2 linked regions of the Arabidopsis thaliana genome follow. The protein of the gene in region 1 interacts with the protein of each later gene in a pairwise test. Each region holds a gene or a part of one and is shown on either strand. Other genes may lie near its edges.

What was found.
Region 2: the proteins of AGL43 (region 1) and AGL99 interact in a two-hybrid assay, tested with the Arabidopsis thaliana proteins (one large-scale study listed by BioGRID).

Annotation. Positions count from the first base shown.
Region 1 is NC_003076.8:16,077,657-16,081,459, reverse strand, and holds AGL43 (AGAMOUS-like 43), read left to right. Parts: upstream 1-2,095; coding exon 2,096-3,070; downstream 3,071-3,803. Other genes in the region: UMAMIT37 (nodulin MtN21 /EamA-like transporter family protein), read left to right, coding at 12-77, 160-273, 554-803, 881-1,039, 1,114-1,265, 1,493-1,646.
Region 2 is NC_003076.8:1,330,759-1,334,686, forward strand, and holds AGL99 (AGAMOUS-like 99), read left to right. Parts: upstream 1-2,000; 5' UTR 2,001-2,066; coding exon 2,067-3,035; 3' UTR 3,036-3,164; downstream 3,165-3,928. Other genes in the region: CYP77A9 (cytochrome P450, family 77, subfamily A, polypeptide 9), read left to right, coding at 1-1,349.

The sequences.
Region 1 (3,803 bases):
TTTATGTGCAGGTCAAAACGATTACCTTCTGCCAAGACCCCTGTCTTCTTCAATATTTTCTTACTTGCGCTTGTTGGGTAATGATATACTCCTTATACTACCAGATTTAGCCTCATTTACCTGTTTTTCTTTTCTAGTTTGCTAACTTTTGGGAAACAGGTTCATGTCTCTGATAGTTGGTTGTAAAGGTATAGAATATAGTTCACCAACTCTTGCCTCTGCTATCAGCAATCTGACACCAGCTTTCACATTTACGCTCGCCGTTATCTTCAGGTTCCACCTCTTTTTCTTTCGTTTCCGTTCTGGGATAGTATATAGATAATTTAGTTAACAATGCGGTAGTTCCACACTTATTTAACCGTTCAAAGTTTTAAGCCTTTTGCTTTTGTCACAGCCACTAGTACAAGTACAACCTTGTGGTTGCATAAAAAATGTTGTGCCCACATGTTGTTCTAAGAGACAGAGAGAAATATGGGTAAACTAGAGGGGTGTTTGTTTCTATCAGCTGAACATTTAACTCTTGTTGTTACTGCTTCCTTGTGTGACTCAAAAGAATGGAACAAATAGTCTTAAGGAGCTCCGCGACTCAGGCCAAAATCATTGGCACGATAGTATCTATATCTGGTGCTTTGGTTGTTATTCTTTATAAAGGCCCTAAAGTTCTAACTGATGCATCTCTTACACCTCCATCACCTACCATTTCGCTTTACCAGCATTTGACTTCATTTGATTCGAGTTGGATAATCGGAGGTCTTTTGCTCGCTACACAGTATTTGCTTGTTTCAGTCTGGTATATTCTTCAGGTATGAAAAAGGACATTGGATATGTTGGTGACACTTATATAACTCTTGCTAAATGTGGTAGCTCTATATGATTTCAGACTCGGGTCATGGAGTTATACCCTGAAGAAATAACTGTAGTATTCTTGTATAACTTATGCGCTACGCTTATCTCGGCACCAGTATGTCTATTTGCGGAAAAAGACTTGAATTCTTTTATACTTAAACCGGGTGTCTCCCTTGCTTCAGTCATGTACTCGGTGAGAATCAATCCTAATATGTTGCTTCAAGTAATGATTATATTTTAAGCTCAGAAACTAACACTCTGTTTCAGGGAGGCTTAGTTTCATCATTTGGCTCAGTTATACACACTTGGGGTCTGCATCTTAAGGGTCCAGTCTACATATCCTTGTTCAAGCCGTTGTCTATTGTCATTGCGGTCGCTATGGGTGTTATGTTCCTCGGCGATGCACTTTACCTTGGGAGGTACTTTATCTTTCACAATCTTCATAAATATCACACACAACATATTATCTAATATCTAGGTGCCATAACATTCAGCTTTAGTGCCATGTATCTATCCATGGAATTACATTGAGAGTTATATGGTTTCTGGTTTTAATTCGTCACAAGTCACACTTAGCCGCCATATATAGTTTCTAAATATTTCTTTCGAGACAGTACTAATTATCCGGCATATATATTGTGTGTAGTGTCATTGGATCATTGATTTTGAGCTTAGGATTCTACACTGTGATTTGGGGAAAAGCAAGAGAGGATTCAATCAAAACTGTGGCTGGTACTGAGCAGTCCCCTTTGTTGCCTTCACACACCATAGAAGAAGAAGCCTCATTAAGCTGTGACTGATGCAAGTGGAATCTGTTAAGAGATGGTCCCCATTGATGTTTACGTATAGCTACACTACATTGTACATATGGTAATTTTGTATGTTTTTCTTTCTTGTACTATTTCAAGTTAAGGATTTTTAATTAATGTAAGACGACTGATATTGCCAGTTAGGAAACCTTCTCTTATATTTCCATTTTATCAACAACCCTTAACGGCTCTAAACGCAAAATCTATGCAAATATATGGAAATCGAATCTAAAAAAGCGCACACACACATATCTTTACGCGTTTTTTCACCGATCAGCGAGAGTGATAAATATTTTTTCAAACCCTAGTGATCAAAATATATCTCTAATTCACACAGTTTCCTTCTCACTTTCTTCATCTTTTTCACAAAGCCGCCAAAGTTTGTCTTCGTGTTTTCTCTTCACTCTGAAACAGAAAGTTTGTCTTCGAAATCAACAATAATGACTATGCGATCATCTTTACCTTCTTCCTCTTCCGCTTATTCACTCGCTTCAACAAGTTTGAGCAACAGACTTGAGACCATCTTCAAGAAAGCTTCAGAGCTTTGCACTCTCTGTGATATTGAAGCCTGCGTCATCTATTACGGACCAGACGGAGAACTCAAGACATGGCCTCCGGAGCGAGAGAAAGTGAGAGACATTGCTCTTAGGTATAGTCAATTAAACGAAGCATTGAGACGCAAGAAAAGCGTTAATCTTCATGGGTTCCTGAACAAGAAGAAGAAGAACAAGGGTTTGAAGAATACGGACAAGAAGAGGAAGACGAGTCTTAAGAAGGTGAATGTTTTAAAGTATCCACTCGCTGATCATTACCCTCCCGACCAAGTTTCTCCACTGATTCAGTCCTTGGAACTCCATGTCTCTAAATTCCACGAAAGGCTTGAATTTCTTGAGTCGCGGAAACAGAATGAGACACAACCGGATCACCACAGTTTAGCATCATCCTCTCTGAATCATCAGACCCAATCTTTGAACCCTAGCCAGTTCTCGCTGTTTATGTATAATCATGGAGACAATACTCTGTCTCAGATCCCAGTCTCTGCATCAAATTTCAATCAGGATTATTTCTCAGCGTTACTTGAACAATCTGAGTTGAAGAATCAGTTAATGAAGCAGGAGATTTGTGGTAATGATCAGAATCAGAACATGTGGATGGGTAACATCACCAACAACAATTTTCAACTTCCTTGCGTCTCAGTACAAGAATCTGTGAACAACTTTGGGTTGATGCACAAGGAGTTTTATGGTTGTGATCATAACATGTCTGTGGGTAACATCAATAGCAACAGCTGTGAACATCCTTGCGTCTCAAGCACACAACATTACTCGGCGGTAGAAGAATCTGTGAATAACCCCTGGTTGAATCAGTTGATGCAGAATGAACTTTATGGTTACGGTTATGCAGACTTTTGTTAATTTCTTATGATTAATTCTGTGTGTCTAATGTCTTGTTCTTAGGTGTGTTGTTGTTCTGTATTCAGCTAATATTGTAATAAATTTTGAATCATCATCCCTAGAAACATTAATTACTAAAAGCCAGTCTTATGATCTATTTCTGATTTCTCTCTTATGCATAATAAACTCAAATTTCCAATAGAGACTCTCAACAGAGCAATAACTGTGTATGTGTGTGTTAGTTGTATAAGTAGAACTAAGCATATGTGTTCCATTGGGAAACACCAGTTATATGTTATAATAATCTGAATTATCTCCAGCTTTTTTATGGTTATTAGTTGGATAGTATGAAGCAGTACATGCACTTTCACTTTCCATACAGGTAGCTGGTTGTAAAGCTATTGAATATAGTTCCCCAACTCTTACCTCTGCTATCAGCAACCTCACACCATCTTCCACCTTCATACTTGCCGTCTTCTTCAGGTTCCACCTTGTTTCTTTCCTCTCTGTTTGTAGAAAATGAACAACCGAGTGGTTCCACGTTAACCATACAAAATATATGTTTCTGAAACAGTAACAATCAAATATGAAACAATATCAGAACACAGACAGTAACTGTCAAATATGAAACAATACCAAAATGCAGAAACATTCTCATGCCACTAATTGTGGTTGTACTAGTACAACCTTGCGGTGATATCAACATGTTAGCCTATCATTCTTTCCCGAGAAACTTCTGATGGATATGAGGATT
Region 2 (3,928 bases), about 15 Mb from region 1:
TTTTCGAATATGTCGATGAGATGAGAAACATCTACGGCCCAATTTTCACACTTAAGATGGGAATTCGAACGATGATCATCATCTCCGACGCTAATCTCGCACACCAAGCCTTGATCGAACGTGGAGCCCAATTCGCAACCCGACCCGCCGAAACTCCGACCCGGAAAATCTTCAGTTCTAGCGATATCACCGTTCATTCCGCTATGTACGGTCCCGTGTGGCGATCACTGAGACGGAACATGGTTCAAAACATGCTCTGCTCTAACCGGTTAAAGGAATTTGGTTCAATTAGAAAATCCGCCATTGATAAGCTCGTGGAGAAGATCAAATCTGAAGCTAAGGAAAACGACGGGCTCGTCTGGGTTCTAAGAAACGCTAGATTCGCTGCTTTTTGTATCTTGTTAGATATGTGTTTCGGAGTTAAAATGGAAGAAGAATCGATTGAGAAGATGGATCAGATGATGACGGAGATTTTAACCGCCGTTGATCCACGAATTCACGACTATCTTCCGATTCTAACTCCGTTTTACTTCAAGGAGAGGAAAAATTCTCTGGAACTTCGCCGGAAACTTGTCCAATTCGTCGTTGGATTCATCGAGAAACGACGATTAGCGATTCGAAATCTCGGCTCCGATAAAACGGCGTCGTCTTTCGCGTATCTTGATACTTTATTCGATCTCAGAGTTGATGGTCGTGAAACGTCACCGTCAGATGAAGATCTCGTGACGCTGTGTTCAGAGTTTCTCAACGCCGGTACGGATACGACGGGGACGGCGATAGAGTGGGGAATCGCGGAGCTGATATCGAATCCGAAGATTCAATCTCGGCTGTACGATGAGATTAAATCAACGGTGGGAGATGATCGAACGGTTGAGGAGAAAGATTTGAATAAAATGGTCTTTTTACAAGCTTTTGTTAAGGAGCTTCTCCGGAGACATCCACCGACGTATTTCACGTTAACTCACGGCGTTACGGAGCCGACTAATCTCGCGGGTTACGATATTCCCGTCGGGGCTAATGTTGAGTTTTATCTTCCCGGTATAAGTGAAGACCCGAAGATATGGTCTAAACCGGAGAAATTTGATCCGGACCGGTTTATAACAGGTGGAGAAGACGCCGATTTAACCGGAGTCGCCGGAGTTAAAATGATGCCGTTCGGAATTGGCCGTCGGATTTGTCCGGGGCTTGGAATGGCGGTCGTACACGTGGAGCTAATGCTGTCGAGGATGGTTCAAGAGTTTGAGTGGAGCTCGTACCCGCCGGAGAGCCAAGTGGATTTCACCGGCAAATTGGTGTTCGCGGTGGTGATGAAGAATCCGTTGAGAGCGAGGGTTAAAGCTAGGGTTTAAGTTTCGTTGATTCCACGTCTTTGATTCTTTTAACTTGACCAAACCCGGTTCAAGAGAGAAAATTCGCATTTTGTCTAATTTGCTTTGGTTTAATTAAATGTTTTCCTACTCTTCAATTACTAAATAGAGCCATGCATATTCGATTTACGTTTGTTTTAGTTGGTTTGCATTATTGCATGTCTTCAAATTAAGCTAGTATAAACTAATAATTTAGATGGTTTGACTAAACCAAATAACTGTTTATTACTGAACCAAATTTTCGATTAAATCACTCTTTCAGAAAAGGAAATTTCTTTGACAAAGGAAAAGGAAACATATACTTATTGGATTAATTAGTGATTAGTAGATTATCACGAAAAGGAAATAGAATCGATGGTTTAACTGAACCAGCCATGGTTAGTTTCAGGTGCTTTTCGAGTTAAGTTTTCAAAAAAGGAAATCGATTGTACTTAGTTTGGTTCGTCTCAGGCGGTTTAAGAGTCATTACTTTCAAAAAAGGAAAATAATTATACTTAGTTCGTTTAATCACTGATTAGCTAATTGTCAGAAAAAGGAAATATAGTCGATTGATTAGAAACGAGTAACAACACAGAGTCTATATATACACGATTAGAAACAGAGAGTAGCCATATCATATTCTTTCGCAACAGGCTAACACAAAAATCTCTCTGTCTTTTTCTCCTTCTCTTTCTTTGTCTGTGAAATCGTGAACACAGAATGGGGGGCGTGAAGAGAAAGATTTCTATAGAGCTGATAGAGAAGAAAGATTCAAGAGCTGTTGCTTTCTCAAAACGCAGTAGGGGTCTATATAGCAAAGCCTCTGATCTTTGTCTTCTCTCCGATGCACAAATTGCGATCATAGCCACTCCGGTCTCTTCCAAATCAAACGTTTCTTTCTACACCTTTGGCCATTCCTCTGTTGATAACGTTGTAGCCGCTTTCCTCACGAATCAGCGTCCTCGGGAAGGTCTAGGGTTAGACTATTGGTGGGAAGATGAGAGGCTTTCAAAATCAGAGGACCTGGAGGAACTGAGAGACGCAATGGACTCGATGTCGAAGATGTTGAAAGATCTGAAGGATTTGCAGAATCAACGAGATTGTGAGGAGGACGTGAAGAAGAAGGGTGTTTTACACGGAACTCATCAAAAGCAAACCTTTAATCCTGAATCATGTTCTGTGAATTTCGATGGGTTTAACAAGAACACTGAAGAATTTGATCTTGATGAAATATTTGATTATGTGTCAACAGCTGAAGCTCTATCGATGAACTTGGACATGGACGATGTCTCTGTGGTGACCACGAATCAAAACCCCGTCTCTGCTTCTGAAACTGTTGAAGATAGAGAATTGGTTGTTCACAAAAATATGGATGAGGACAATATCCACGTGTCTGATATGGACGACAAGGATACGATGCTAATGATTTCTGACAAGAACAATGTTTTACCTGAAAACTTGGATGAATTCGATCAAGAGCTAGATCTTGATCAGCTACTTGATTTTGAGACAAACTATGAAAGCCTTTTGAAGAGTTGTGAGATGGAGGATTATGCCTCGATGGTGACTACAAAGCAAAATCTGTGCTCAAATCCTGAAGCTGTTGAAGATGGAGGATTAATGATTCAAAAAGATTTACCGGAGGATAATCTCTGCTTTTCTGATTATTTCAGTGACTTACATTGCTGATATTTGAAACTCCCTCCAAGATAACAGATGTTTCAAGGATTGCTTCGGTTTATTTTCGTTAGAGATACTTTACTCAAGGAAGGTTCCGGTTTGACTTCAATCAATTTTCCATGCTTCATTGGATTTCTGGGATGTTGATCTAACTCAAACCGGTTCAGTTTTGGTTTGCCTTAACTAATGAAGAAACCATCCTTTTTTCTTTTAAGTTTTGTAGTCTTTTCTATCAACTTGTCTTGTTTTATATGTGTGATGTTTTCTTCTTATATTAAAAGTTTAAAACCAATGAGTCTTACTACTCTTTTTTTCTTGTATCAACTTGTGTCTTGTTTAACTGTGGGATGTTTTCTAATCTAACCAACAAATAATATTAAAACCAATATTGAGTCTTACAACAGAAAACATCTGTCTGACAATCTTTGATTAGGAATGTCTCTGCTTTCTTATTAAGTACCAAAACCAGTCATCATCTAGGCCAGTATTTTGTGATTACTTCATAACTTGAAAACAGATAAAGCTTTACCAAAATAGAGCAGAATGGCTCCATAACAAATTGCAGAAGAACCGGTGCTAATTGATTCCATTCAAAACGTGATGCAGAGAAGTGTTTATATGGCGGGGAAAGTTTGGGAAAAAACACCTTGTAATTGGTTCAAATGCAATGTAGGGGGAGCTTGGGTGTTAAGAAATGAGTTGGGTGGTTTTACTTCACAGTCGCCGGGCGATATTTAGTATAAGAAGTGTAGAGGATGCAAAGCTAAGAGTTTTGCTTTGGTCTATTGAAAGCATGTCAAGTCACAAAGTCATGAGAGTTTTTTTTTGCTTGCCAAGAAAAAGGATTGGTAGAAGCAGTTAATAGGCCGCAGGCTTGGCCCCTCTTTTAAAGCTCAATCTTT